Drosophila melanogaster: one gene and its partners. The protein of the gene in region 1 interacts with the protein of each later gene in a pairwise test. Each region holds a gene or a part of one and is shown in the gene's direction. Other genes may lie near its edges.

Region 1 (7,315 bases):
GTTTTGCATCCATGGCTGCGTGCAAAAAGAGGCATTCGGCTGGCGTAAACAAACAAAAACATATTGCATGCCTTGCCGGAGAATCGAAGGAATGCCATCGGCGATTTATAGGCCGTAACAAGCCCGGCCCCGTGAAAGATGCGCGGGAAAACCGACACCTTGGCAAACCAGAAACACATGTCCGGAATCTAAGGATCTTCGGGGATGGGAATCGGACCGCATATACTATACGCACTGACCAAGCTGGGAACGACATCATCTAGTTAGGAACTTGAGTGCGAACGCGTGGGATCAGGTGACACGAAGGTCGGTTGCGGTATGTTGCCGCTCAACTGAGCCGGGTATTCGTTTACACCAATAATTCATCCTCAACTGCAGTTGCGTCGATCCGTTTTATGTAGCGCCCAAGGTCCATGGTCCCTGGGCTCGTAGGTTCTAGATTCCAGATACTATGTTCCAGGACTCAAGTGGGTCGCATAATCACGTGTCGATGCCTTTTTCGTTTGGGATTTATGCGCGTTTATGGGAGTACCGCTGCCGTAGACAATTTGACGCTTCCGCCTACTCCAGCAGTTGTGCACTGGGGAAAAATGTTGTTCGAAACGATACAAAAGGTAAGATACTTACAAAATTACTATATTTTTTTGTAACTTTAAAAGCGGCGATTTCCATTGTTAAAGGACTGTGCAATATGATAATTTTATACGAATAATAAATGAAAAAATGTATTGATAACAATTAATAAGGTGTACTTTATAAGTTAAATTCTTTTCAAAACATATATCCAAACTTCTGTATCTATAATTCCAAAGTGTTTTTTCCCAGTGCATAGTCCCCGCCCATCTGGCGCAATCTTATGTAACTTGTCCTCCTCCTCTGACTTATATGTGTCAATTTAATAGCGCATTTGCCACTTTATGACATACGATGCTGCTCCTGGTACTTGGACTCCTTTTCCCAAGTCCCTGGTGTTAGCTCCTTTGTTTTCTCAAGTGCCTGGCAGATTCCACATCGACTCCTTCCACTCCCGCTTGTTTTATAACACAGGAAGATACAACTGGAAAGTATCCGTGAAGGAGAAAAAAATAAGCGGAAAACGCACAGTGTTCATTTGTTATGCTTGTCATTTGTCGCTGGCTGCCGGCGACTTCAAAGCCTGTCACCCAATTTGTTAAACGCGGAGACAATTTTGTCATCAGCTCCCCCAATTCTTTATCCCCAATGCTTTAGTCATCAAATTGAAGCTTTGGCCGCCGGGGAAGAATTCTTGGTTTTCGCATATGGCCAATTATTTTGTAAGTCGATCCATTACGTATCGGAGATTTACTTCTTAGCGTTTGGATTATTTTATTAAAAGATTTACTTAATTGTTTTTAATGATTAAATAAAGCTCTTCAACTTGATCTATTATTATCTATCTAGTATTACTAAATAAAAAGAAAAAAATTGTTTACTCTATGATGATTTTGTGTTTCCCTTTAATCATTTCGTTCTTAAAAGTAAGTAGAAAACTGAACAAGAAAATGCATTGTTTTTACAATATTATTTAAATAATATGTATTTATGTTTATTACAAAATCAAAATGCCAATGTAATAGATACATTTTAAATGTTTTTAAAATTTATATAAAAATTATAAAAAATTAAAAAGACAAGTAATTTAACAATAATGAATTGTATTAGGAGAGTTTAGTTTAAATTTTTTAAAGTACATTGTAACTATAAGAATTATTTGTTTTAAAACAAAGGCAATGTCGGAAATGGCGTTCGTCAAACCACAAAATGCAGGGAAATGCAGTCGGCAATGAGCAGAAATCAGAAAGTGACAGGGAGAGGGCCAATTGGATTCGCAACAAAAGGTATGAGCAGGTAAGCGTAAGCCAACTCAAGGAGGTGTGTCCAACGCGCAACAGTGTGTGTGGGCCAAAACACACACACACGCGCACTAAGTGCACACACAGCCATGCTAAACAGCCAGCGAAGAGAGCGAGCACAACATTAAGAATAGCAAGAGCGGCGATTTGACCATTTTAATGAGGGAATGACAACGACAATTGGCATCTATCATTAAATGGCGGTATTCAGAATTAGTGACAATCAGATGAAGACGGCATTTCTTATAATTAACTCTAACCAAGCAAGACGCAACGCCTCAGCGAGAGTTGGCATCACGCATACGCCGCATTGGCCGGGAGGTGGATCCCTGGGGATCTACGGGGTTAGCTGTCTGTGCCGCTTTATTAGCGATATGGCTTTCTTAATGAACCAAAAATAGATGCACGCGCTCCGAGAATTCCCACAGCCCCGCCCCTTTCCTTTTCCTTCCGTTTCTCTCCTTCTATCCTTCTCCCTCGGCTCCTTTTTCGTCTGCTCCTCATCTGTGTGACACTAAGAAGTCATGACATCGCTCGCCCACCCTGCGTAACGCTACGGATACGCTTACTTGCTTCAGATTGGCCATTCAAGCATTCAGAAATTAACTCCGCCCGGTTGCGTATGCTCACTCACTCGGTTCGGTTCGTCTGTGTAGGTATTGCAGCGGAGAGAGAGCGAGAGTACGAATTCCGATCCATGGATACACCCACACATCCGTTGGCACACAAACACAAAGTTGAGCGACTACAGGAGCGGTAACTGGGGAAAAAAGGAGAGATGGGTTGTTAGCTTAGTTTATTATCCATCAGCAAGAAAACGGAAATATGTTATGATAAATAATAAAAAAATTGTATAGATTATTGTGTATAACTTGATGTAATAAAGTCTTAAAAACCTTCTTCTAAACTTCTGAATTCGATCTCTTTATTAAAATATTTAATTTATATGAACCCTTTACTTTAAACACTTACAAGATATTTCGATACCAAAGTTACTGGCGCCTTAACTCTTCTGGGCTTACCCTCAATTCGCTGCCTGCGCTCCTGATCGCTGAAAGACATTCTTCATTTTTATTATTTGCCCGCGGTCCACCAACAAACGCACACCAGTGCGCGATCATCGCCATTAAAACCCACATATACGCTCGACCGACCGCCCCTTCCTCTCACGGATGAGTGTGTGTGTGCTTGCGGAGGAGAATGCGGAGAGTGAGAAAAAGAGAGAGCGAGATCTTGGGATGCTGCGTCGACGCGGTGGCTTCCACTTCCACTTGAGCCTGTAGATGTGGATGTGACTGTGGCTGTGGTGGTGATATTCAATGTGTGCGTGGACGTGGATTGTGGGCGATCTTGATCGGCAGCGCCGCGGGCAGCGTTAGTCGCAGCAGACACGGGTGACGAGCAGCAACGATCGTTTTTGGAGAGCGCGCCAGGTTTTCCCGATCCAAACCGTTCCCAACCGATACGCTACGACCCGATACGCTAGAGCAAAAAGGCCATCGAAAGATTTAAAGGCGCGCGCACGGATCAGTGAATGCTGTTTAAATCGGTTCATTTGCAAACCATCAATCGCACGGGAGGTCCGCCAGTCAAGTCCAAAGTAAACCGACATAATTCCCAAAATCAAAGCATAACAAACCCATTGTAGTGTCATTAAGTGTGTGTAGTTCCCGCTTCCCCAATAAGGTGTGATAAGTGCGTGATAATTTTCGAGCCAACCTACTCGAGAGCGATCGTTTTGGCCCGAAAATGTGCTAATCAGATCTCAGTCTTGGTTCACGGCATAGTAGGCATCGCAGCCCGATGCTGTCCCGCACAACTGGCGCCAATTTGTATACAAATTTCATGCCTTAATTGAAACTCACATTATAGCCAAGTGCGAAAAGTTAACGACTAGGTAACCACCGACAATCCCCAGCAAAGCAGAGTCCAACTATTCCGGCGAATCCAATCGGAGAAAGTTCCACGGCGGAGTTGGCGAAAGGCAGATTTGGGTGCCCACAATTGCAATTCTGGAGTTCTTCAATCAATTGCCATCGGCCGAAATGGACCCAGGTATGTCTCAATCCATGACTCACAAAGATATAGGCCTCAGAATTCATTTCCAAATTAAAATTTTTAGATCTATCGGCATTTTTGAGGTGCCGACGGCATTGGGTTTCTTTAAAAAGCGTAGTAGCTATTTTATTGATAGATTTGGGTTAATATAATCAGAAAAACAAGAATATGTATATTGCAGGAAATATTGATAAGACTTTTGAAATCACATTTCCCTCTCTATCTTAAAATATAAGGTAACGAAAAGACAAATTCAAAAGTAGCACTATATTTTCACTTAAATCTCTTAACTTAAGCCCGCCACTCGAGTGTTTTGCCAATAAAGCCCTCTTGTCCGATCCTCCAGCCAAGTCCTTATCCGGATCCCCTAACTGCTTGGGATAAACACAATCGCTCGCTGGACCAACTTCTTTTTTTTTTTTTTTTTTTTTTTGGGCAACATCAAGAGGCAGATGTTTGCTTTTGATTTTCGTTTCAAAAGGCTGCCGTCGCTTGGCGCATGATCGACAGCCTCGCGGTAGCCGCGGCACTTGTTTGACTTTCGATGATGTCGCCGACGTCCGCACACGTACCCGATTCCAAAACCCAAAACCCTAAACCGAAAATCCAAAACCCATAACCCCAATCCCAATCCCAAACTCCGGAGCCAAGGCTCCTAATTTAACTAATGATCGTTGTAATGTTTCTGCCTTTGTCGTGCGGTCTTCACTTTTGGCTCCAAGTGTCCGTGTCTCTGTTTGTCCATGTGCTTTGGGCCAAAAGCAAAATGCGAGTGCAAGACATGGCCTTATGGCCGAAAACTACGCTACACAAGTGTGTAAAGATTTGATCAGTTCTCTCAGTTGTTGACAAACATGTGCGCAATCGAATAATTTGGCATGCGTCGATTTACTTTTACAAATTTCGAATTGCTTAGATCATCTTTTGAAATAATTTGCCAATAGTTTTCAATTTCTATGAGTGACATACAAGTGTGACTGACTATGGGTAATCTTTTATAATGGTATTCCCCACTTAGTTTCAAGTATTTATTTGTTTGCTTGAGCCTCTTTATGGCAAAGTATCAAAAGGACATACACGAATATATATTTTTCCACTTGTCCGAGCTGAAAAGAAGTTATAAGTCGGCTAGGAGGTCCCGCACTTTTGGTCCATTAATGACATGCTTTCGATGTTTTGACATTCTGTTTGTACGCCAGCATTGTTTGCTCACTAGGAGACGTCGAAAAAGATATAGACGCCGATGCAGACCCATGCTCATGCCCGAACCCAAACCAAAACCCAGACTCTGGACCAGAGGTGCAGAAATGCGTGACTAACGGCCACCGGTAGCCATCTACTTCGGTAGCTAAACATGAAAAGCCCACCAGACGCGGGCCGCAAGTGCAAGATGTTAAAATCACAGAAGGGGCAGTAAAACAAAAGGCGCAGACGATGGCCACGAAAGGCAGGCAAACACTTGAGATCCGAGGAGGAAAACGTCGCGTCAATGTGTACATGCCTTAATGGAAGAGTCTATATGGTATGGGAGTAGGTGCCCAGGAGCAGCGACTGCGGGAGGATGCGGCGGGGACTGATCTGAAAGCCCGACCAGTAGCTTCCTCCCGTGGATACCGATGATTGCGGTTCGGGTTTGGGAAAACGCTTCACTGCCTCGGCTTGATTGTGTGGCGTCGTTTCCCCTGAGTTCTTTAATTAAATCACATCCCCGACCGCTGATGCGGAACATTCATTAAGCGCATTTGCAGTCATTTTGGGCATTGCTCGGCGAGCTTAAAAAAGTTGCACTAAATAGGCTTTGAGTATAATTAAAACCTCCAAAACCCTTTGCATTTTATCCTTTGAATAGTATGTTCTACTTTTTGTTGTAATATGCTAGGTTTCTCACTGTAGATCAGTTGACATTTGCTCCCTTTGGGCGTGGACATCTCCCCATGGATCCACAACCTCTGACATCTGACAAGTGTAGTTCATGTTCTTGGAAGCAAACTCAGCTCATTACCATATATTTAATGAGTTTCTAATCGTTAGGGGGCACGTGTTTGAGCCAGTTCATTCTGGGATAATGAATGCGATCGCATCAATAAGCGGGCGGCTAACATCTGGTTCTAACCCCTAACCCCTAGACTCTAACCCCTTGAGATGGCCTGTGTCAAGTCCCATGGGGGCGATGGCGACCCAAAACCGGAACTGCCACAATCATTCCAAACTCCATTTCTCAGTCTCGAATTTGGAGTCCTAGGATCAGAGCTGTGAAACTGGCTATTTTCCAGCTAGCTCTAGAAGTTCATTTCATACAATAAAATGATATGAAATTATGTAGCTAAAGGAAATTAAAGGGTTTGTTGTTAAAAGATAGTTTACCGCTAAACAATACAATAACAATTCCATGTAAGTGCCTCAGCTACTTTCCGAATCCCTAGTGGGCAGGATTGGGGAGTGGGTGAGCTGGTGCACATGTGGTTAGATTTATATGCATCTCGCCGCTGTCAGCGAAGGGCGTTGCACATTGCTCGAGTGCCGGCGAACCCGAACTGCAGCGGAGTTGTCGGTTCTAGTACATTGCCAATGATTGGTCGGATGCGTTGGATCTCCTTTGGGCCTGTGGGACGGGATCGGAACTCTGGCCATGGGTTTGCCATCGACATCGAGCACATTTCGGCTACGCACTCGCATTGTGCGCATTCCTCGTACGCGTAATTGAAGTCGCTGCGGCATCTTCCCTTTGGTTTTTTCTTTTTTTTTTTCGGCTGGGCCGCACCCCTTTCGAGTTCCTCGAGCTCGCTGGCTAGAGCCGTCATATTTGCTAGCCTCCTCCAACTGGGCCCCATCTACCAGTTTTCCGAAGGGGGCGGAAGAAAGGAGCTAGTGCGTCGCTATCTTGGCGGTGGCTGTCGTGATTTATGGACTCATTAATTTCTGTTGACAGACAATGCTGTTGACGCCGCAGGAATCTATTTAGCTTTATGTACTTTTGATTCCCACTTGCTGGGGCGCCTATCTTATGGGCTCCATTTATAATTCGAGGCGCTTGCACTTGATCTGAAAACGGAAATACGCGAGCAGATGGCAAGCTAGATCGAGACACTTAAAATTTCTCTAAAATGCCAGTTACCAGCTATTAGCGTTCCTTGGGGAAAGTAGCCGTAAGGAGTTGCATTTCTTCGTCTGGTTCAAAGCAGATTCGATAGATGTTAAGTAAACATAAAGCGATGCCAATCATGACTCTTTTCCATTGATAACACTTGGGATTGAACTCTGCAGCAGATTAAAAAGGAAAATGGCATTGCCAGCGGATCAAAGTGACAGACGTAGAGTGGCTTCCTCTTTCTCTTGGCGCGACGATTCTGTGAAATTCACTGATAAATAAATGCGATTGTGCG
Region 2 (10,027 bases), on another chromosome or scaffold:
CAAGTCGCACTCCACTTGGCTGGACCTTAAGAGGCTCTGGAAAAAAGGACATTAAAATTATATAAAAGCAGCTTGGCGAAATTTAAATATTTCACCGACTTCTACCCCAATTTCCACGCTGTCATAATATTTTATGGTTGCTTGTTTTAATTCCTTGTTCCATCATTTCACAATTTTTTGATGTTTTATTTTCGTTTCTTGTCTCATTTTATTTTTCCTTCTTTTCCGTCTTGTCAATTGTCCAACAGCGTAAAGTTTTTAATTTTTATCAAAAGATTTTTTGGGCTGCTGCTGTTTTTAATGAAATTTTCGCGCTGTCCTGTAAAGGATTGGACTCCATCGAAATTTGCATAATTTTTTGTCAGCCATTTTTAATTTGTGATTTGCGGCAGTCGAGTGAGTGTCCTTAAAAAGTTATCTTCACATTCTTTTTTCATCTTTTTGCATCTTTTGTAATTAAAGACATCTTTGAGTTTTAGGGCGTGCACAAAAAAGTTTATACTAATTTTAAGCTCTCTAAATAATTGTTTTTAATTTGTTTAATTTTATTAAAACTTTTTTAGAGACAAATTAATTTGTTGTTCATTGATTCTTAAAACACTTTTATAGTTAAATTTAAGATGCAAAATAATAATAATAATTCAATAAAATCTTGATTGGTCATTTTCATTCCCACTAAGTGCTTTGCTAAAATGATATTAGTTTTCTTTGGAAAACTGAATGAACTTCAGCCCTCTTTGATGCGCTACCAGTTCGTAGGATCTTCTGCTGGCTGGTTTTCATCTGGCAAATCATTTTAATTGCTTTGCCGCACTTGGGCATCCTTCTCCTACCAAAGAGCCCCCGGAATCGAGGGCTTAGCCTTTGTTGTTGACGATGGCGATGGTGATGGCGATTGTGTGCGGCGATAATAATTACACGTCACGCTGCCACGCAATCAAAACATTATTTGTGCAAAATCACGGAACTGAACTGAAGCGGAAGTGATGAAGGACTTATTGGCTGCACGCGTCCTCCGTCGTTGTCCTTCGCCAGCGAAAAAAAAAAATGTTTAAAAAATATTTGGCTGGCTGACTGGCTTTGCGGGTCTATTGGCGCACCCTATTTGCATTGCACCCAAGTCTCCGGATCGGAAGGACTCCGTTCCGTGTTAAATTCAACACAACGCGTGCGGTCACGTGGCTAAAGGATACGCCCACTTTCATGATAGTCACAATCGACAGTCGAGATTTAAACAAAACGTTGTGCCCACCGCATCAAACGTCATTCACGTTGCCCCCATTGAAAATCATCAACGCGGCCAAAAAGACTGGGAAATCAGGAAAGAGCTGCGGAAAATCGCTGTAAATTATGTAAATTGTTTTCCCCGGCGAGGTCGCAGATTGAAAGGAGTGCGAAAATTTGCCTAAATGCTGGCAGGACACACCAACAGGTTCAAACTGTTGCAGACAACGGGAGAAATGCCAAACAATGTGAGAAATGCCAGAAACATATGTCGCCATTATCGGCAGTTAACCAACATGACAATCCTTGCATAGGGAATCTGATAATTAGGGAATGATTTTGGGGAGTAACAAGTTCAAGGATGGCTTGGAAAAATATTACAAAACATTTAATATGGAGTCGACTTTTGTATTATTTTCTTTTCTACTATTTTATCGAAGAAATTACTAAATGACATACTTAACAATAATAACTTAAATAATAAATGCGTAGAAAATAATATTTTTATATTTTCTTTCTTACCATTAGATAAAGTTGAATTTGACTTAAAATGATATATAAGAAATTGATTCAAACAATCCAAATTTTGTTCAGCTTTTTTGTTGAAATTTCTCTGCTCATCTTGTTTCAATTGTTTAGCGAAAGCGATATCTGTAATCCCACCAAACACCATTAATATAAGACTTAAAATGCCACCCTGCTTTTGCTCAATCCATAGATCAATGGGAAGATATCATTTCGCATTTGTTGTATATTACTTCCTGTTTGGCATGGACATATACATTTCATATTTTTCCCACCAGTCCGTAGTGTCCGTAGATGTCCTAGATGTCCTAACTGTCCACCCCTTGAGAGCGATATAGTCGCATTTCCAGCCCCCTGACGACGACACACGTCCGTGGCAATAAAAGCGCAAACGTTTCAATTCCGTTGCGGCTGACAAATGCACGGAAAAAATGCCAGCGATTCTGCCCCAAAAATATATTATAATGATAAAAAAAAATCGAGTGAATGGAAACGGACGAAAGTTTATATAGATGCTGTCGAGTGTTTTGATTTGTAACGTTTCTCACTTCATTATTATGCAATAAATAATGCCATCTACATGTTCCATCTAATATTATGCAGAAGGGCGAATCGCAGGGGGTAGTTTATTTGTCCTGCGATTTCTGTCCATCGGAAGTGGAGCGGAGCGATGGTCAGAAAATCATTGCTGTTGAAATTAATGAGGCCTAACATGACTGGGCGCGATTTTTTTTTTTGTGCGAAAATATTTTTGCGAAATATTAGGAAAGTATTGAAATATTGAATATGCCGGAGTACGTGGTTTCCGTATTGTCCGTGGTTTATCATGATATCCGTATGGTCCGTGGTGTCCGAGATGTCCGTGGTCTATATAAAATAATAAGTAAAACAAAATAGTTTTAAGAACAATTACAGTCTGTTCATAAAAAATTAAATTAAAATAGGGGTAAGTGTAAAACACCATTTGGAAACTTCAAGACCTCTGCTGGAGCTTTTTGGCATTACTGGAACAGTTGTCGCGTGGCCAAGAATTTCGAAAAGTTCCTGGCACGGAGCTTAAAGCGTGCTCTACCAGAAAAGTTTATTTACTTCTTCTATGCGTGTATTTTCCGATATCGATACCGATATCGATGGTACGAAAAAGAATGCATATCGGTACACCAACGCCAAATCAAAGTGCCAAAATGGCCTCGTGGCCTGCACGAAGGACCTGCTCACAACGAATCCTATATACATCGAAATCGTGAGTGCTACTAGTTTTGGTTCCTCGATTTAGAGCTTCGATGCAGTGTTGCGTTAAAGAAACAGGGCCTTGGGTCTGAGGAAAGTGCAACCCTTTTCTGTGTCCGTCGCTGATCCTGACCACGCCTTAACATTTTCTGGCACCGCCTACGCCTACCCCATGCCGACGGCGCCGACCTGCGATCAGCCTCCGCAAATGGTCACATCCCGTACCAGAACCGTTTGCCGAAAGCTCCAGCTCCACGGTAGCATTGAACCCCTGTGCGAAAGCTTCGCCTGAAAACCCACCCCCATTGCAGTGGGCACTCATCTCCATCGTTGTGTGTGTGCTGGCATGCCGCTGAGAGCGGTTCTCGCTTTTTGTGACACAAAGAGGAGTGTCATGCAGCATAAATTTCATACGAATTCCGCACACTCGCAACGCGTCGCAGATACTTTTCGGCAAAGTTTTCCGCAGGAAAAAGCCAGTGTAAATAAATTGAAAAAAAAAACCGAAAAAATGGGCGACAGTTCCTCTTAGTTATTAACAAAACGGTGTAAATAAATGGGCGTGTTCGTTAAACGGTAAATGATAGTGTATTTGCGACTGTGTTTTTATTTAACTGAATGGAATGGAATGGCCAAATGCGCCCAAGTGGTCAAGTGAGATAAATCAAACAAGTTTCTTTGGGGCGAAATAAAACGGCGGCCAGCCGAAAATCACCATGGGAATGGAAATTAAATGAAAATCCGGCAATCATAAATAAAACATAAATTATGTTTCGCTGCCAGTTGGCGGCAACAAAAATAAAATAATCAAAAAAAAAAAGGAAGATGTGAACCAAGCGGATATATTTTGATTTTTTTTTATAAATAGAAAAATCAATTTCTCTCTCTCCGAGGAGCGCTCTCTCTCTCTCTTTTTTGGCGCGCGCCTGTCTGTGTCCGTCTTCCCCCAAAACGGGCGCATGTGTGCGTGTGGTGGTGTGCGGTGTGTCTCGCGTGTCGGTGTCTATTATAATATCCAGTGAGCAAAAGCGAGTGGCCGAGTGCTCTCACTCACTCTCTCTTTCTCTCTCTCTCTGCGAATAATTGAATATAATTCAAGTGTTTTTGCTGCACACTATTTGTTGTGCTTATTATCGTTATTATTTGTTTAAATTACCAACGACAACATAAACAACAACAAGAGCACCACGCGCGCGTTTAGCACAACGCCGTGGAGCCACCTTCGAAGGCATCGAAAACATCAACAACATACAAAAGGCTCTCAAGGAGAGCGATTTGCGTAGTGCTGCTGCAGCCCTGGTCAGAAAAACCCTTTTATGGGTTTGTCCTGTTTACAAATTGACGCTGCAAATTGAATTTATAGCACGGCTGAAACAAGTGGATGAGTGCCAGCCAGGGACCCACTTAATTTCCGCTACGGTCCCCAAAATACAGAAGACAAATAAATGAGGAAAATGCCACTACAGTGAAGCATCGAGCAGTGGAAACTTGAAATATTCATAAATTTCGAGCTAAAAGTTTAGTTTGTGCCATATTAATAATGATATTACTAAATCAAATTCGTTCGTTAATATTTGATTCAATACCAAACGAGCACCAAAAGTATTACTAAAGAAATTTGCACTAATGGTTCATTCTAGACTTGGTATCAATTTATAAGTTTTCCACTAACTTAACTTCACTTGAATTAGCCTAGTTGTCCTGTATTTGGTTTGAACTGGAAATCGGTGGGCGAGTGGTTGAGTGGGTGGCTTGGGTGGCATTTTCCCTGAGAAAAACTCACGCACAAATGTATTTCCCCCCCGAGGAGCATTTGTTGCTGCTACCTCAATCTTTCGAAATTGACAACGGCGGCAGCGGCAGCAACAACAACACCAAATCAAATAAATTTAATTTACACACATAGTTAAATTAGTGAAAATTGAATAAAACAGAAGAAAGAATAGACGACAAACGTAAATAAAAGACGGTGAGGTGACGGAGACGCGAAGAGTGAGGAGCGGCAGACCGAGCGGGAGAGCAACGTGTCGAGCAACAAATTAATAATACAACAACAAAAACAGATAAATAAAAAGCAACACAAATTGAAAACAAAAACAACAAGAGCAGCAGCAGAGGCAGCAGCAGCGATTCTGGATTTCTAGAGGCAGCGGCACATTCAAAAGATGGGCTGTGGACAGAGCAAGATACATTTGTATCCCAGAAAATCGAAGAGTAAAGCGAACGGCAAGAAAGGAGGACATGGTGAGTAGGCGAAATGAGAGTATATCCTTTGGGCACCTGCCTTTATAAGTTCCACACACGGTGCACCAGACGTAAATGCGTTAAAGATGAAGCAAATCAATAGGTTATCTAAGGGTTTTCATAAGCCCAAAATACACAGTTCAAATATTTTTAGTAGCCACCTATGTGCATATATATAATAAAAAATCAGCAATACTGATAAATTGATCTTCAAAAATTTCTCAGTTCATTTTACTTATAGATTTTATGTTATTCTCATTTTGCGTGCTAGAATTGATATTGTTTTGCCAACTTTGTGTATGCCCGATCATTTGGAATGATCTATCAAATCGTTTAGGCATTTTCCTCTGTGTAGAGCAAGGGAAATTGGGGAAACGGCGAGGAAAACGTATTGCCTCGCACAACAAAAGCTTACACGCATGACGACATCAATTTGCCTCCAGCTGTGTGTGCATGTGTGCGTCCGTGTTTCCGTGCATGTGTGTGTGTGTGAGCCACCTGTTTCCACACAATGAGGACATCATTGATTAATATGTCACCAGCAGTGAAAAAAGAAGGGGAAGTTGAAAGGAGGAGCCCAGTTTTAAGGCCATACATTCACCAAAGTAATAATAAAGGCCTACATTTTAAAGCCCACAGCATTGTCTATATATAAACACACACACACGCACACTAGCCAATTTAAGTTTATAAGAATGTAAAAACCTAGCCTACATGGCAAACTTTTGACTATGCCCAACCCCGCGCGTTTGTTGCTGTCTGTGTCTATGTGTGCGTGTTTCTTGCCTTTTTTATTTCATTTTGTGTGTGTATAATTAACTGCTAAAAAGGCAACTTGTTGTTGCAGTGGGCGCCGCTTCAAGGGGCGTGGCCAGCCCCCCCCCCCCAGTTTGTATATAGCTGTGTGTGTGTGTGTCTCTGTGGGCAAAAGGGTTAAAGCTAAAAAAGTATAGCATACACAAAGGCGCCATTGTGCCATAAACGACCCAAATATTTCGGAGGCGCCTAAGCTTTAGTCTCGTTCCTAGATTAATTATTCATAATACTCGCGGCTCTCGCTTTACCGAATTTGCATTAAAATGCATAACGGCTTTTAATTAAATTTATGGCTGGCAAGGCCACTTCAAAGAAAGGCCCGAGGAAATATTAAGTATACGCAGGCTAAGCCGAAAGATGGATTAGCAAAACAGAAACGTGCAGGTACAAAAAGGATGCTAAAAACTTTGATTTCTTTATTTATTTTTATAAATAATTAAGTATTTGAAAGGCAGATAGTGTTTTTTTGAGTATCCATAGTGGCCCAGGACCTAGCATAATTTCTACAAGTGTTTTCTAAGCATTTTTCTCGACTGCGACTGCCCCCCGTTTCGCAGAGAAGTTTGCCACACTTGGCTTATTGCAAAACTTTTGCCACTCCATGGCACTCGCGAAATTGCCCACTCATCTTGACTAATGCTCGAAACTCTTCTTTGGCATTATCCATTTGTTTGGCAGCCGACTCAGATGCCGAAACGGACGAGGACGAAGGCCATATCGAGGATGCTGAGAAGGCACAGCAGCGCGACCGCGAGAAGCACGACGAGAGCGAGGAGCTAAGCAATAAGGACATCCAGGAAAGCGACGAGGACGTGGCCGTCTCACTGCTGCGCGCCAAGAACCTATCGCTGCTGCAAAGCCAGTAAGTTAGCCCATCGACCGCATAACCCGAAAATGAACACCTCACTTTTCCAGGGAAATATCATCTAGCCAGCAGAACTTCTTCCGCATGCTGGACAAGAAGATTGATGAGGTGAGAGTCCACTTAGTGATACATTCCCACATACCAGATGGGAAATTTAAATCAAGGGGGTTCCCAATAGTATAAAAACTTAAATCACTCGCTATAAAGCACAGAGAACAATTGTTGTTTCTATAAACACAAAAAGTTGAAAGTACGAAATTCTATAAATTCATTGACCCCAAATACGTAATTTAATAGAATTTATTAATTTTAACATACATATATATTTTAAAAGCTTTGCAATATAAACTCAACCAATGTAAATAATGATCAGCTAACTAGTCATAACATTGATGTGTAATTGGCTGTTCCGTGATAATAAACAAATGGCCAAAAATCAATATATATGTAAGTGCACTAAGTATTTGGCTATCCCAAATCGAAAGAGCAAAACAATTAGTTTTATGGCCCCCTATTTGTTTTCTTTTCGAACAACATGTGAGGAGCCATTAAAATTCGCTTGTTACCTGAAAATTTGACTTCAAAGAGATTGGAACAACTTATGCGCAGCAAGAAAATGTACATATATGCCATGGGGATTAATTTGATTATTTTATTAAACATGTTAGACACAAAATCTTTTATAAATTTCCATTTTAAAGGTATTTTAATTTGATCTTTATATTCTGGGTGTTTTGCTAAACTTTTACTTCTTGTCTGTGACCAAATCTGGCTAAACACAAACACGCTTGTTTTAGGGTCCCGACTACGATTCGGCCAGCGAGACGGAGATCGCATTGGAGGAGGCCCGACTAAACGCCCTGCGTCAACATTGGGAGTCCGCCAGCATTACGGCCTCCATCTGCTCCTCGGCCAGCCGCTCGCTGCAGACGACGCCCATCCGCCAGGTGCAGGTGCCATTGAAGCAGCCACCGCGTGGCGCCGGCCTGCTGATTCAGCCTTCTAGCGCCTCGGCGGTCACCGCCTCCACCTCCTCCTCCTCCTCATCGACGATAGTCGCGCTGCCCACGACGGAGTATCTACCTCAGCATGTGTTGACGGGACGGCAAGTGGTGCAGCAGCAGCAACAACAGCAGCAGCAACAGGCGGCAGTGCTCTACCAGCAGCAGCAGCAGCAACTAATACTGCTGCCCCAGTTGGATCCTAATGTTGTCAACACGTCCACGGCAGCAGCAGCGGCACAGCTCGTCCAGTTGCAGCAGCAGCATCAACAGCAGCAACAACAGCTACAGCTGCAGCAGCAACAGCAGCTGCAACTCAATCAGCAGCAGCAGCAGCAACTTTACCAGCAGCAGCAACAGCAATACCTGCTGACCCTTCCCGCCGGATCAAAGCCCCAGAGCGTGAGTCCAAAGCGCCTGATCTATGGTGGACCCGCTGCAACCACTCTCCTCTGTGCAACTGGGTAGGTTCAGCTATCTGTCATCATATATATATATATTATATCCATTTAAATACAGTGATGTGCATTTCAGCATCAAATGCAACGCCCCCGAAACTTACGAACCGCCAACCGCTCCACACAGCCAAATCCAGCAGCAACAGCCACCGCCTCCTCCGCCGGGCGCCTACTACGGCGAGATGATGCACGGCGTACAGGTGAGTGATCCTATATGTACTGGATCTTAGAGGGCAACTTGAGTCTGCTGAAGAATTCTTAAAAAATTCTACTGTCTGCAGAATTTGCGCTCATGAGCAACTAATTCTTAATGCCTATTATCTTGACTTTTAGCTTAATGACTAATATATTTACTTGACCATTTGCAGGCCGCTCCAGCGGCGGAATACAAGTTCCCGCCGGCCATCAGCGTGCAGAGACTGGCGCCGCAGGTGCAGCGGCAGTTGCGCGAGACGCAGGAACTCATAAAAGACTCGTGCCCGCAGCTGTATGCGGCGGGCTATGGCAGCCCAGGACCACCGATACGCAATCCCAGCAGGAACCCCACTAGAACTAGACCCACCCTGGAGACGCAGTTCTCGCAGGAACTCTCGTGATATCTATATATGTAAACAGCCGGCAGACGGAGGATGCACCCACGTTCAGACACACACACACACACAACCACTCACAGTTGGAAAAACTGCAGCCAAAGAGGAAAGCTAAAATTAACCAAAATTATAAGAATACGAAACCCGTGACAAAACACACAGTAAAAAAAAAACAAAGAAAAAGCCAAAAAAAAAAAACAACCAAAAAGAAACTTCAAAATGAAAGAAAATCAATTAAGAAATTGTAAAACTGCACTCAATGTTTCAGACCCTCAGAATCCCCAAAATGCGTACTATTTGCAACAAAGAAACAATATGAGCAACTACTATACCTATGCGGAGCAACAAATAAAGCATTCAACTACAAGGATATTCAAGAGGCAGCCAAAGAAAGCTAGGGACATAGGTACATAGGGACATACCGAGTTGGATCCGAAAAAGCGCAAGGTACATAGACTTAGGAATCGAGTATAGCGTTATAAAGCGATATATACATATATGCAAATGCCACAAAGGAGATGCGGAAGCGGAAGCGGTCGCTGAAACGGAAGCGGAAGCGGATGCTGAAAACGGAGTAGGAGGTGTTAGAGCCCGAGAAAAAGCAAACACAAATCATACAAAGTAAATAATATAAAGTGTAACAAACAAATGACTTCTACATTCTCACGCAATTTTGTTAGTCATAAATCTCATGGTGTAATTTTTTAACAAATATTTTTCCGTCAAATTCTCGAAATGGTGTAACATTGATGATGGCGGATGATGATGGAATGTTCGTTGGATATGCAATTAACGGATGAAGCTGTCTAGTAATATTTGTATACTTTAGTTCTATTTATTATTAATAATATAATTTTGGATGTATGATAGTTTTTCTTATATGGATATATATATATATACATATATATTTAAAATGGAAAATAAAAGCAAATCAATTAAGTTTAAACCCAAAGACTTCCTTATCAGCGGGAATAATTAAAAGCGCACGGTTGAAATTCTAATTAATTCCTTTATTCATATCTTGTTATCAATTCATACTTATGGGCTGCTGACATAAAATGGAATTACATTTCA
Region 3 (7,353 bases), about 14 Mb from region 1:
GTAAGCCAATGTAGAGCACCCGTTCGCTTCGAATGGCCAAGTAAATAAACAAAAGTGGATTTTTACACTCATTGCCGACAGCGCACAATAAAATGTGTGAAAAATGTGCTAGAACCAGTGGAAATGCAACCGCGTCGACCAAATAAATAAATAGAAACTTTGAGAGCCTCGTTTGTTTGCTAAGAAATTAAATGAAAATCGATCATTTGGGAAATAAACGAATGGCCGGCCAGCCAGCGGAATTCAAATAAATAAATGCCAAACGATTGTGTGTGCCCCAAAGTAACTAATCAAAGTGTTCGACAGGTTCCTTCGGCGATAGCAAGTGGAAGACAATGTCGCGGATATGCTAAGTGGAAATGGATCCGATGATTTGTGATCTGTGGTCTGGCCGCATTTGGCTATTGATACTCATTTGCCTGTGCGGCTTTCAGCAGTCCCGCTGTTTTTTTGTTGACTATACAGGTGAGTTTAGTTCTTACTATAAGGGTAATTTTAATTTCGAAGATATATATATAAGTACGTGCATATTTTCATTTAGAAGCTCTTTTTGTTACTACACATTTCCGCTTTCATTCGTCAAAATATTCAGAAGGTTAATCGCAATTTCGGGGAGCACAACGCTTGATAAGATACTGTCAATTTGGCTATCATTGACACAGAAAAAAGTAAACATTGCCATTGCCTTGATTGAATGGTTCGGAATTTTTGTTATATCTTTTTTGCCGGTGCAGAGAACACAGAGTTAATTCAACAGAGAGCCGGATTCGATGTCAAGCTGCAGTGCAATCTCAAAGGTCTGGTCGATGAGAGTATGCTGAATGACATCAAGATACATTGGTACTTTAAGGTATGTACTATTATTATTATTATTATTGTTGGTACCCATTGATTAGCATTAAACTATTTCAGCAATGCAGCGAAAACAATTGCCATCAGTTGGGATCTGTGGACGAGTGGACTGCTCTGCCATGTGAGCCGAGTCTTTGTCGTCCGGAACTCTGGCTCCGGAATGTGACGGAGCGGTATTCGGGACTGTACAAATGCAGCATTAATCCGCACATTTGGGATAAAGCCCAGGCTGTGGATGTTCAACTGGTTCGCACCTATCAGCTGGATGTTAAAAGTATGTACAATTTTCATCACCATATATACCATATACCATATCGAAAATTATGTATAAATTCTATTTGTAGACACCTCATTGGCAGCCCCTGAGTTTGTGGACTCGTATCCCAACAACAAGACCACATTGGTGGGCAGTAGGGTGGTGTTCCAGTGCCGTGTTCACAGCGAGGAGCATCCCACAATCAAGTGGTTTCGCCGGCAGACGTACGTGGGAACTCAGTCAGGTGGCGAAGCCTCCTCGGCACCCACAACCTCAAATTTTAGCAACCATATTGTCCGGTACAATGGTCGAACATATGAACTACTGTCCACCGATCCAGAAAAGATGATGGCACCCCAGATATATCTCAGCAAATTGATTCTGGACGGAGTGAGATTACGAGATGCCGGACACTACGCCTGCGTGGCCATCAGCTATCGAGGCCATAAGATCCGCGAGGCTTTCCTGGATGTGCTGGCCGATGTGGAGGATACGGATCAGGAGAATGAGTACTGGTCGGACTACGGTAATGAAGATGAGGGAGTTCCGACTAGCGATCGACGGGAGTTCCTGCTGCTCTTCCTTATGCCACTGGGATTGGCTCTTCTTCCATTGACCGTGTGGTTCAGTTATCTGTTGTACAAACGTTGCTCTGTGGGACACGGCGATTGCCAGCGAATAGATTCGGACGAGGATCTGGACACGGAAAGGTGTGTCCTCGGGGGAAACAAGCATTAAAACCGAATATTTTTGAAGCTGCACTACGCTTATTAAGATTATGGATAAAGACTGTCTATAGAGTTATGAAAAGTAGACTTACAATCTGAAATAAATATATAATTTTTTATGCGAACTTTAGAGCTAATCGAGTCAACTGTAATGCCTACATCAATAAGGACATTTTTAAAAATCTAGAAAACCTATACTTTTATGCCACTTGGTTGTCTGTGAAGGTAGTGTTCGCATGTAACTAAGGCAAGCTAAGCAAAGTTCAAAATTTTCGTCGAATGAAATTCCAAATTTGTTTCGTCTTCAGTTTCCGGCAGACAAAGTCCTCATTTGGACACCGCCGACATCGCCATCATCGCATCTGATTACAGCAATCCCATACACGCTACAGCAGACTGCCTAATCCCCTAGAGAACTGGTACTCGATATCCACAAAACTGATGATCATCGAACTTTGCCTGGAATTTCACTTGATGTGGGAATTAAATGTTCGCATCTATTTTATGCGAATGAGAGTGGCCATTGTTAATCAACTGGAGCCAATTGGGGACTTCTCCTACTAGAATTATTCATAATATCGAGCAAATTAACTATCCAGGATCAGGGTTAACTAGACGTCCATTTGTTCAGGAGCAAACTGGCCAAAATGTCTGGATCGAGGCGACGCCGTACCGTTATGGGATACTACGAATACATAATGCCCGGGATTTATGAGTATCCTTTGATCCAATGTGATGCGAGTGCAATCCGTTCCTATAGTATTGACTCCATAATGACCAGTGCTTCATCAACTTGGTCAATTCCAGATAGCAATGCCGCCTATGTAGCTGGACCAATGGGCGTTATCCACTATCAATCGGATATGCAAACGCACTTGGCTCTGCCAACTAGGCAAAATCTGGAAACTGGTCTTATATATCCAACCATTGAATCCAACTCATGTTTCCATGAGCCAAATCTAGAATATGTTCAAATGGAGAATGAGCACACCGATGACGACGAGGGATACGGCTATGAAATTCCCGAGATTGTTCTCTGCTTAAACCGTTCAAATTCAGAGTCCGGCGCAGCTGAGGAATCTGGCGATTCGCAGCGTTCGTCAAAGAGTTATTCATCGGTGGAGATTAGCGAGCAGTCAAGATCGGGGGAATACGTTAAATTAGAATCGGTTTTCAGGAGGCGAAGAAAAGTATCGCAGAAGCGCAAATATACCACCGAGCAGGGTTACCTGGTTGAGGAACCCACCAGCGAACCATCTGAGGAGGATGCCGAGGAACAGGCACCAAAATCCAGAAAATAGATATCTCATATTTCAGTTCAGCATCTACGTTTGACTATAGAAAAAAAACGTTACCCTCTTTGATTTTTCGTTGGAATTTGTAGTGATCAAAATATATATATTTTATAAATATTTATTTGGTTAACTTACATGTGTATATGATTAGCGATAGTTGTATGTCGCAAGGTAAGATATAAAGGCAAGACAAATAACTTGAAAAACAATGTTTTTCACATGAGTGCAAATTGATAGACCACCATATTGCACACAGTAGCACCTAGTCGAGACCCAATTTGTACTGCCAATGAGCGACTAATTTAATTATTCGCACATGTTCAAAGACTTTACTCTCGCGCAATGCCAAAATCACATGGAAAACTTGTCTCCCCGGCTCTCCGACTGTCTCTAGCTGGCTCTTTCTGTTTTATATAGCCTTCTCTCTCGCTTCTTAGCGCCCCCTCTCTTTCTGGCTGTGAGGCAACCTTCCATCGACAGTCGCTCAGTTGTTATACGGCTTTTGTTGCCATCGGACGTGACTTGTATTTATTTATTATTTGTTTCGTCGACGGGGGCAGCGAAATCGAAAACACTCGCTATAAAATAAACAAAAAACTATTTTTAGGCTGCAAATCTGAAATATATTTTCTCGATCAACTGCAGCAGGAGCATAGAGACGCCACCGCACCCCCTCCCTAAAAATGGACTGCAAATCGCGACGCGGCACCAAAATATCGGTGATCGCCCTGGGAAGTGCCCTCTGTTTCGTCATGATGGCATACTTTGTGTTCGGCGACAGCAACGACGAGCAGGGTTTGCGGAATCTACGCATGATATCCATAGTAAGCTGCCGCCACTTCTGGCATAAAGTTGTAAACAACGAGATCTGAGCACTGTGTTTATCAATCCAATCCAATGCCCACCAGCTGTTCCGACATGGTGCCAAGAATCCGAGTGGCTTCTATCCGTTGGATCCGCACGCTGCCCACGACTGGCAGGGCGGGATGGGAGCCCTCACGCCGGTTAGTATTCGATATACAATAGTATAGATTAGGATATGGATCCTACCTAAACTTTAAATTCTTTCTCTTAACTCAAAACGTATAAGTGATAACACATCAATTTTCAATAGGGCTGATCAAAACTGACACGCCCATTCTTTTGGAAATTTAAAAAAAAATTGTTTGATTTTCGTACTATTTGATATATTATTGCTTGCACTAGCTGAGAAACTAGACTATAACGCTCTCGTTTATGTTTATTTATTTTCCAATTAACACATTTTATCGTACGAATTTTTACACTTTAAAGAGTATTTATTAAACGGTTATCATGTAAATAAATAATGTCAATAATGTAAAACAGTGTGTTTCATTGCATTTAAAACTCCAATTTGGTTTTAATTTTATGATCCAAAATGATCAATGAAGAATGAATTATAGATGCAAGTTGGTGATATCTAAAACTTTAATGCTAGACACGTAAAACATACATTACTATTTAATATATTTTAATAAAGATATTTATATTCTACAAATTTCTTAAACCCCCTTTGACAGAAAGGCAGCCTGCAGGCGTACAACCTGGGAAGGAATCTGCGCATGCGCTACTACCGTCTGCTGCCTCCGAACAGCCTTTACACCCAGCAGCAGGTGAATGTGCTCAGCTCGGCCGCGGAACGCTGTGTGGTGCGTCAATTGTTTCGATAAGAAATCCTCTATAACTCTATTTGCTATCTGTCCGAGATGGTGGTGCCCTAATCAGTTGGCCGTGTGTTATCTTTTAGATGAGCGCCCAGAGCGTCTTGGCCGGCATGATGCCGCCGCTGGAGAACAAGAATGTGCTACCCATTCCCTGGCAGCCGGTGGCCGTCAATACGCTATCTCGCAATGAAGATATCGTGAGTGCAATTGTATATTTCCATTAGTCAAATGCAAGTCATCATCATAGTACTATGATCTAACTCTATTAGCTGTTGGCCCAAAAGAAACCGTGCTTGAAATATGACCACATTCTGCAGAAGCTTTACAAATCTCCGCCTCCTGAACTCCAGAAACTGAACGAGGACAACATGGAGCTGTACAAATTGCTAACCAAAAACACAGGCAAGGTGGGAGAGAGTTGCACCCATATTGGTTGTTAATTCCTTTATTGCCATACGATATATTTCACTTTTTCACTTCTGATATTATCATATTATCCTTTAGAACATTTCAAATGTACTGGACGTGGAGCTACTCTATGGCACACTCAAAACCGAAGAGGAAGCTAATCTGGTGCTGCCCGATTGGACTGAGAATATATACCCCGAGGAGATTAGGCCACTAGCTGAACGTAGCTATATGCTATTCACCGAAACAAATCTAATGAAGCGGATTAAGGGTGGCGCTTTCCTTACGGATATACTCAACAAAATGCAGAATAAGCGCAAGAGGAATCTCAATCCCGATCGCAAAATATTCCTGTACTCCGGTCATGATGTGACTTTGGTTAACGTGATGAATTCCCTGGGCATACTGGACCAGACTACCAAGCTTCCGGAATATGCATCGGCATTGGCCTTCGAGCTTCATCACAGCAAGTCTTTCAGTGATGGAGACTTTGAAGTGAAGGTTGGTATTGGTAGCGTATTACTATTAACTATGGGATTCTTACCAGTTTGGGTTGTTTGGTTGCAGTTGGTTTACTACTACAACAGCGAAGACAAATTCCCCAAGGAGCTGACCATTCCCAATTGCGATGCACCGTGCTCACTGACCCAGTTTGAGGCCTCTGTAAAGGCCCTGCTTCTAGATAACTATGATGAGACTTGTGAAAATCATCCGACCGATTGCAAAACATAAGATGCCTTCCAGACTTTGTTGAAAGTGTGTGTCGTTCTGGGTTGTTGTTTAAGTGTCTGGCCATTGCTAAGAAATAGTCAGATGTGATTTTGGATAATTTTAAATAATTGGTTTCAATTAATAGCTTTAAAATAAAACTAAGTCAAGTAGACAAACTAAGTAATGCAAGGTGTAGTTATCTCAAAAAGACAAATACATACATATATGGATGAGATATTTCCAGTGTTCTCTTCTAATTACATTAACTGAATATGCATATATTTAGATAAGAAGGCTTTTCTTCACATTTCACATTTTGGAGTTCAGGAAATCAAATCAAAAGCTTGAGCCCTTGTCCTCAGGATATAGAAAGTATATGGGAACTTTTACCGTCTCGCTGACATGAACGATCTCGGTGTGACTAATTAGACGGATGGCAGCCAGTCCATAGAAGAGCATTGGTAAGCCTGTGTAGAATTTAAGGATATAAATGCGGTCTTTTGGGAGTTTGATTAAACTCGAATGAGGACTTTCCCATATGCATTTCGGGATTCATTACAGGGCATACACCTTTTTCGAGTTACCACGGACCTATGTAGCATAATCCGTTTACTGGACTTACCCAAATTAATCACCTTAAGGAAGCGAAAGAACTTGTCCTCCAGCCAAAGATCCTGCACCTCCCTCTTGCTACAGTGGTACTTCATATAGGGATAACAGGCGGTGCGAAGAATGTGATAGTTGGTTCCGTTTTCCAGGGTCCAATTAAAGTGAGACATTCCCCTCTGATCGTTGGCCACATCGTGAAACTAGACTTGGAGCATATTTCTCATTAGATCTGGTGAAAATATTGGGGCGGAAAAAGGGGAGTCTTACCTTCACGAAATATGATGTCCAAGGTGGCTCATGGCATTGTTTCAAATATGCGGTCAATACTTCCGAGGCTCGAGGCTTCAGTAAAAGGCGGGTAAGCTGCATTTTGTATCCAAATATTGAAACTATTGCATCACAAAATAATAACAATTGGCTTTCATGGGTTTTGTTATTACTTTTGCTCTCTTATCGAATCAACAGCTGTTCTGCAATCGATAATCGACATACTGTTATTACATCGATAGCAGTAGCGATAAGTCGATAATTGCGCGTAATTTGAAATTATTTTTCGAACACATATTTTCTAACATTCAATCTTATTTAAGCCTCGTGTCTGTTAGAAGTACCAGCAAGAGACCCGAGCTATCCGAGCACTTTACGCTGGATGAGATGGTGGCCAACGAGAAGCTGCTTCAGTATGACGAGGGCTCAAAGGAACGCACGGAACTGGAAACCGCCCTGCTGGGCGTTCTCAATAGGGTAGAGCACGTTCCCATCGTTATTAACGGCCAGGAGTTCCAGGCCAAGGAGGACTTCCAACAGGT
Region 4 (7,363 bases), about 21 Mb from region 1:
CCAGCTGCTGGAGGGAAAGGCCCACGCGTACGTCTTCGCCACGCCGGGCTGCAAGAAGTGGGACACCTGCGCACCCGAGGCCGTTCTAGAGGCCCAGGGCGGCTGCCTCACCAACATCAACGGCGAGCACTACGCCTACAATGCGGATGTGGAGCACGTGAATCGACAGGGAGTGCTGGCCAGCCTGGGACAGGACCATGCCGCGCTGGTGGAAAAGATTCCCGCCGAGGTGCGGGCAGCAGTGGGAGCCAAGTGAGATAGCTTTGAATTCCAGCACTTTATTAGTTTATTTGCACTAAAAGTAAACACACATAAATTAAGCAATAACAGGTTAGAAATTTGAAAATTGTTAAAACTGGGCTCAGAATGCATTCTTTATTTATCGAAACTGCCGCTGTTGTTGCTCTGTGTGCTGCTGTTGGCCACCGAGTTGTTCAGGTAGCGATTCCGCTTGGCCTTGGTCATTTTGCAGGAGTTTACGGAGGCCGCGAAGCGCAGCGACTTGACGGACTCTTGGAAACAGTCTTGGAACGGCGAGACGTTGATGAACATAAGCGTTTTCGAGTTGCCGCCCAGCGAGGGCATCAGCAGGTGCGTCAGCTTGGAGTTCCTGTACGGGATGTGGTCCTGCTTCTGCAGCAGCGCCAGGATTACGTTGGTGAGCTCCGATAGCGAGCGATTGATGTTCTTTGTCTCGGTCATCCGGGTGCTCGTCTTGGGAGACTCAGAGCCGGCCAAATCCACCAGGTTTATGGAACCCACGGAGATCTCTTGCTTTTCGGCATGGCGTCCGATGAGCTCAAGCTTGGTAACCGCGTGGGAACGAGAGGAGCGCTCGTTGCCAGCTGTCGAGGCGGTGGCACGGTTCATCTTGGCCGTGTGCATGAGGTGGCGCAGGTGATTTGGATCCAGAACCGTCTCCTCCGTTATGTTGGACACGTAGATGTCGTTCTTGTTGTTCTTGGCCATTCGAATCTCCATGTCCTTCTGCTCGTTGCTCAGCAGATCGTAGAGCACCTCGTTGTAGATCTCCAGAAAGGTGGCCTTGATCTCGTACTCCCAGCCCAAGTTGCGATATCCCCGGATGGAGTCGAAGAGCAGATCCACCGTGCGCGGTATGACGCCCACACTCTCCGGCACTCCGTCCATTGTGTAGGTCTTGCCACTGCCCGTCTGTCCGTAGGCAAAGATGCAGATATTGTAGCCATCCAGGGCCGACTGGATGAGCGGCGAGACCATCTCGAAGATGTCCGACTGCGAGGAGAGCGGGTGGAAGACCTGGTCGAATGAGAAGATCTGCTGGCCCATCTTGCTTTTGGCCTGTGCGTCAATGCTCTGCAGCTCCACGGTGGACTCGTCGTGATAGGTCCAGGTGCAACACATACGGTTCTCCTCGGACTCCAGCGGCGGTCGTATTCGACAGAAGACCCGGATGTTGCCGCGCAGGTCCATGACCGTGTTGTGCAGCTCTTTGCGCTCCATGTTCGACTGGAAGAGCTGCTCTTTGCAGGTCTCCAGCTCGGCGGCCTGCTGCTCATTGCAGCGCAGGAGTTCCTCGGTGCGCTGGCGCAGATGCACCACTTCTGTGCTTAGAGCAGCATGCTCCGTTTTTACTTTCTGCAACACACACATTGTTGTTACATTTAACCTGGGTTTCTGTTTACTTGAGTACTCACCTCATGTATTGCTTGCAGCTCGGATAGCTCCTCTTTGGTCCTGCCCAGCGTCGATGTGATTGTTTCAATTTTGGCGGTATGCTGCTTCACCTGCCTCTGAAGACACTCGTTGTCGCTCTGGGTGTTCTTCAGCGAGGACTCCGTCTCGATAAGCTTGTTCTGCGTCTCCTCCAGTTGCTGAGGCATGGACTCCAGCTCGCCCATGTCCTCTGTTTGCTTTTCGTACTTTGTCTTAAGCACCTTGTGCTTCTCTAGCAGATCGTGGAAGCGGGCCTTGAAGTCGTAGGGAGCGATGCGCTTGGGAGCAGCAGCCGCGGCTCCTGACGAAGCTGCTGCTCCTGTTCCTGCTGGTTTCTTGGCGGCTGCTCCTCCTGCAGCCCGTGGAGCAGGACGCGTTACTGGTGGTCTTTTGACAGCTGTTGCTGTTATTGACGAAGGCGCCGCAGGACGCACTAGTCGCTGGCTGGAAACAGTGAGTGCACCGCCCAGGCGGGATACTTTGCTGGGAATGCTGGGCAATGAAGGAGCAGCCGCAGTGCGCTTGTTACCACGCAGTTCGTTGATGTCGCAAGCGCTACGGCTACGTCTCAGCTTGGCCCGGTGGCCCAACTTCATGGGCTCTGGGGAGGCGGCACGTGCTATCGGAAATTAGCAAGGACTTAAGGTGAATTCTTTGGAAGGATGCTTCTTTACTCACCTCCTCCTCCGCGACGCTCCAGCACCTGGGGCAGATTGTTGAGGTCCCTTGAGAGGGGCGGCAATAAGTTGCCGCAGTATGTCTGGTTGGCATTGACATTGAAGGCGCCTGCTCCAGCGGCTCCACCTCCCAATCCTGCGCGAATTCGATCTGTGGGCAGCACGGTTTTAATCGGCATTTGGGGTTTCTTCAGGCCCGACGGTTTCGGTAGCCGGGATTCCATCGCCAACTGTGTTGTGCCTAACTTAGAAGATACGTCTGCCTCCTTGCAACCGATTTTATCAATTAGTTTTGCGTTGTTGACAAGCGACGCCGTCGATTCCCGCCGTTATTTTTGATTGCAGGGATGCTCTGGGGCAGTGTGACCATTTGTCGGGAGAGTACGGCGTTGCCAGCCAAGACGACTTCCAGTTTGTCAATCAGATGTTTTCAGTGCTGCAGCTTTGGCCCTCGGGCACAAATTTTCGCCTTGACTCGTGCATCCCGCAGGTTTTCGGCGCGTGAAACTCACCCAAGCGGGTGTGAAATACGGTGGCTGTTGCATTCGAACCGTTCATTTTGTGGAAAAGTCGCGGCGGACTGTTCAACAGCCTGAAGAGTGAAGTCTTGTGCGCAGCACTAGTGTCGTTGCCGGACGGTTGCGGCAATCCGGGGCGAACTTCTTGAAAGCGTTTTGCTTTCTTTTTGCGAGCTTGTGCGGTGTGAAGGAAGGCCGCGCTATTCTGAAATTTATTTGTTGCCTCGAAAAAGCTGTGGAAATTGCGTTCCAGTTGGAAAGCAGTTGCGTGATCGGGTCGTTGCCAGACCGGCCGCAGGTCTCACGCGACCATCTCTAGTTTGTTTTCATTCGGATTGGAAAAGGCTCGTTCCCATCGAACTGATTTTGTGAATTTTAAAATTGGCTTCCCCCACGTCCGCCAATCCCCCCGAGATGTCGGGGCAGGCGGAGCTCAAGGAGCTGGGCATGTTCGAGCTGCGCCCGCTGATCACTAACATCAGCTGCAAGCTGTCCGCGGTGACAGCGGGGCTGGACGAAAAGCGACAGTTCCTATGCCTCGTTTCTGAGGAAAACGAGATCCTGCTGCGCTACATAAGCGCCGCCTCCGGCCAGGAGGTGGTCAAGATGATATCCTGGTTCCGCAACCGCGTCATCCACGACGTCTGCTTCGATCCGGCGGGCGTTTGGCTGCTGGTGCTATGTGAGTTTCAGCGTATGATGGCATGAGCACCACCCACTTTTTTGTGTTGGGTGGGTGGTTGCTGTGGTGGTGCTGCTAAAATTACTTTGCCCCCATGTGTGCGTGTATGGTTATTGATTTTCTGCTGCCTCCCCTTTGTTTTGATTTAACGATCGAATGGAGTCCTTGCTCAAACACCACTTATCCACTGCTCTGTCAACAGGTTTCGACAACACACTGCACATCGTGCCCGCCCTGGCGTTGGTGGACAAGGCCCATGGACTGTCCGCCTGCTCGCTCTACAGCACCACCCAGGTCACCTCCTACATCATCCCCTTTGTGGGCCCCCACGAGTGTCCCAACTCCAAAAAGTGCCCCAATCACTCCACCGGTCTGGAAGAGTCCACGGCGGAGCCAATGGATCAGTTGGCTGAGAACCTAGAGCAGGCCAGGTTGCAGGAAGGCGAAGAGGAGGAGCCTCTTGGCCACGACCTGCCCGAGCACATGCTGGTGCGAAATAGCGGAACTGAGGATGCAGTGCAGCCACTGCCGCAGCAGCAGCAGACGATCGATACCACCGGCAATAGCCAGGTGATGGCAGCCTCTTTCATGGCGTCCAAGACCTGCCCCTATCCCTTGTCCGTCGTCTGGTGGAAGACCAACAGTGGACAGAATAGGGCCATTATCGGCTACTCGGATGGCTCCATCTGCTTTGTGGGCCTGAGTCCCAACTGCCCCATGATTGCGAGCACTGCCATCGAAAACGGATCTGTGATGCGCCTGGTTATCTGCAAAGATAAAGCCTACGATGGTGTTATGCTGCTGGTAAGGAACTATTCTACTAATATAGATTTCCAGATGATAGAATATGGTTTACCGTCTTTCAGATAACTTCCTCCCTGAAGCAGCAGTACAAACTTTTGCTGGAGCAAAAGGCAATCAAATACGTCTATCCCGGAGACAGTTCCCCGACAACCCGCGAGGGCGCCTGGCAGATCGTGATGTCCGTGCAGGACAAGCATCAGAGTGCGGCGACAGGCGCCCGACAAAGCAATAGTTCCGATCCGGCCTCGGACAGTAGCCAACTGGAAGAGGATGTGTTCGCGCCTCCGTCCAGCGATGATGTGGTATGCAGTGGTCCAGGAGCAGCCAACTCAGACCCGTCCACTGTTTCGGCATCCGCAGAGGCAGCCACTGCAGACGTGCCTCCACCACCGGCGCCGCCTTCGTACAGTGAGGCAGTGGCTAGGCAATCCGGTGACCAAGGCGGCGTTCGCTTCCAGCAACAACAGCTGCCAGCGGGCAGCATGGATGGCATTCTGCCCGCCACGAGAGCCCGACTGGCTTCGCTCAAGAGTCTGGGATCGAAGAAGCTGCAGGCCATCAAGATGCGACTTTCCGATCAGCGGCAAAAGTTCGATGAATGTGCGTAAGCTGACGTAACAAGATATACGTTTTTCTACTCCCTACTTTAACATATTTTCTCGCCTACATTGTGTTTATATTTGTTAATTTAATTGCCGTTTTATTGTGAATTTTTCATTTTTTTTATTGGTGTGCAGTTTTAAGAGAACTGTTGCATCTTTTGAAGCGTCGCTTGCGTGGTGAGTTTGCACAACTCTCACACTTGACAGACCAAGTAGAAACAGCTCGAGACTTGCAATCCCATGTAATGATATCAAAAGTAATCCATTCCCTCTGTTCCAGTTATGCCGGACTCCACGATGGGCTCGTTTGCAATCATGGATTCGCCGTCGGTTACGCCGGAGCCCCTAGGCACCACCTCCGGATCCTTTTACAACATACAGAACCTGCGCAGCACCTTTCTGCTGAGTGCCCTGCACAGCAATAGCCACAGCTTGACCGTGCACAGCATCGACATCAGCCTGAAGCCGCTGTTCGTTTACAAGATACCCAAGCACACCCAGGAAATACTCATTAGCTCCAACATACTCTACGGCATACACTACGTGGACCTGCACTGCCGCAGCGATTCGGACCACTTCACGGCGGCATCGTTGCTGGACGACCCGCTAGTCGCGAACACGGAAAAGGAGAACCGCGACGCGGACATTGAGAAGGTGGATCAGTCGGATGTGAGTGCCCAGAAGAGCGATTCGACGAGCGCAACCACCACAGCCACATCGAGCCTAGATCAAAGCGACATGCCCAGTACTGCCATCAATGCCGTGTCCGTGATCAGCAGCGCAATGGCCTCCCTGCATACCTCCGACGAAGATGTGAGTTGAAGGCGCTTTCAAAGACCTGTACGATTACGAGTCCCTAATAAACACTCTTTTGATTTCGGCAGCGCTTTAATAATCTGGCTCAGCTAGGTCTCTTCCGCTTCGAGAATGAAACTGTGCTGCATTTATATCAGATGGCACAGTATCGCAATCCCTCCGCCGAACCAGAGACGCTTACCAAAGAGGAGAAGGCCAAGGCTTTTGAGCTAAAGGATATCCACACGCCCATGGACTACATCCAGTTCTACGAGACGGCGGATGTTAGCAGTGAGTTTTCTCTGCGGCAAATGGAGATTATGCAGTCCGAGTTTCCGAAAATTAACTACGATCCAAGCTATGTGATCACCAATAAGAATGTGTACACCATACAGCTGAAGTAAGTTTTGAATTGGTTGCTACGCTCGAAATCGCTTACTGAATTGAAATTACTTTTTGCAGAAAGGAGCCGTTCGAATTGTTCCTGGATGCCGCATTGCAGAACGAGTTCAACCAGTGCCGCGACTTCTGCAACACCTTCGACCTCTCCTTCGAGCAGTGCATCGAGTTTGCCGGGGATTACCTGCTCAGGCGGAAGAAGATCACTCAGGCTCTGCTCACGTACAACAAAGCGCGGGTGAAACCAATACGCACAGCCTTGAAACTGGCCATGTATGGACACACCTACGCTCTAATGCAGCTAAGTGCTATGGCCCTCAAGTCCACATATCTGCTGCGCTCGCGGTACTTAGGTCATCCGCTGCTCAAGGGTATTTTGGGAGACATTACGTATCGTCACTCGGAGGATGTCCGTGTAATCTTGCCCGAGAAACATGAGGAGGAGGATGTGAACAGCGGTGTTTTCTGCAGCGATTATCATTATGGCGTGGACGAGTCAATTAGCGCGCTTCAGATGTCGCCTTCTTCGCAGTTCCATTTGGCCAACTTGTTGCTCATCACGTTGGCCGAGAAGGCGGTAAACGATAAGAACTATATTCCGCTGTGGTAGGTGCATAAGAGCTTGCTTTTCGAACCCAGTGTAACTATTATTTTGTTGCAGGAACTTTCTGGTGACCAATAGCAAATATCACACCAACATGACGAGCATTGTTCTCTGCCAAAGTGGACTCTTCTCGTCGGCCATTATACTGGCTAAGATACGGGGCGTATGCCTGGATACTTTCAATGCCCTGATCAGCGTGGTGGCCCAGGAGTTTGGATGGTACAACGAGCTGAACGTCTGCCTGTACAATCTGAGCGAGAATATATTTTTGGAGACAATAACTTACTTGCCGCATGTATCCATGGATTACTTTGCTTTCATTCAGGAGAAGTTGCATCATATAAGACCGTGTGTGTTGCAGGTAATGACTATTTTTCTACATCTTCAACAGTTTACTTACGTAAAATAATTATCTTTCAGCGCCTGTCGAAGCAACTGAATCCTTTTTCTCCCGCTCTGAGACCCATTGTGTCCCATAATAGTGACTGCGCCATGTCAAACGATAACAATCCGCAGTTGTTTGAGTTCTGCAAGAGTCTAATTGAAACCTATCTGGCAGTGCTTATACATATGGAATCCCAGCGAGT

What was found.
Region 2: the proteins of Poxm (region 1) and tow interact in a two-hybrid assay, tested with the Drosophila melanogaster proteins (one large-scale study listed by BioGRID).
Region 3: the proteins of Poxm (region 1) and CG6656 interact in a two-hybrid assay, tested with the Drosophila melanogaster proteins (one large-scale study listed by BioGRID).
Region 4: the proteins of Poxm (region 1) and ca interact in a two-hybrid assay, tested with the Drosophila melanogaster proteins (one large-scale study listed by BioGRID).

What each region holds. Positions count from the first base shown.
Region 1 is NT_033777.3:8,329,729-8,337,043, reverse strand, and holds the start of Poxm (Pox meso), read left to right. Parts: upstream 1-3,251; 5' UTR 3,252-3,919; coding exon 3,920-3,929; intron 3,930-7,315.
Region 2 is NT_037436.4:6,939,547-6,949,573, forward strand, and holds tow (target of wingless), read left to right. Parts: upstream 1-3,309; 5' UTR 3,310-3,460; exon of another isoform or gene 3,461-3,555; intron 3,556-4,885; 5' UTR 4,886-5,144; coding exon 5,145-5,223; intron 5,224-6,717; coding exon 6,718-6,901; intron 6,902-6,954; coding exon 6,955-7,012; intron 7,013-7,701; coding exon 7,702-8,369; intron 8,370-8,424; coding exon 8,425-8,563; intron 8,564-8,731; coding exon 8,732-8,959; 3' UTR 8,960-9,767; downstream 9,768-10,027.
Region 3 is NT_033777.3:21,871,676-21,879,028, forward strand, and holds CG6656 (uncharacterized protein), read left to right. Parts: upstream 1-3,617; 5' UTR 3,618-3,814; coding exon 3,815-3,955; intron 3,956-4,039; coding exon 4,040-4,135; intron 4,136-4,672; coding exon 4,673-4,801; intron 4,802-4,899; coding exon 4,900-5,013; intron 5,014-5,085; coding exon 5,086-5,223; intron 5,224-5,320; coding exon 5,321-5,725; intron 5,726-5,791; coding exon 5,792-5,956; 3' UTR 5,957-6,113; downstream 6,114-7,353. Other genes in the region: CG31431 (uncharacterized protein), read left to right, coding at 360-465, 735-850, 913-1,126, 1,197-1,846; CG31178 (uncharacterized protein), read left to right, coding at 2,484-3,137; CG34148 (uncharacterized protein), read right to left, coding at 6,272-6,402, 6,558-6,744, 6,812-6,913; P5CDh2 (delta-1-Pyrroline-5-carboxylate dehydrogenase 2), read left to right, coding at 6,823-6,902, 7,135-7,353.
Region 4 is NT_033777.3:29,804,031-29,811,393, forward strand, and holds the start of ca (claret), read left to right. Parts: upstream 1-2,780; 5' UTR 2,781-3,304; coding exon 3,305-3,572; intron 3,573-3,774; coding exon 3,775-4,376; intron 4,377-4,438; coding exon 4,439-4,976; intron 4,977-5,258; coding exon 5,259-5,791; intron 5,792-5,862; coding exon 5,863-6,173; intron 6,174-6,235; coding exon 6,236-6,778; intron 6,779-6,833; coding exon 6,834-7,137; intron 7,138-7,196; coding exon 7,197-7,363. Other genes in the region: CG7789 (uncharacterized protein), read left to right, coding at 1-256; ncd (non-claret disjunctional), read right to left, coding at 376-1,617, 1,677-2,314, 2,374-2,596.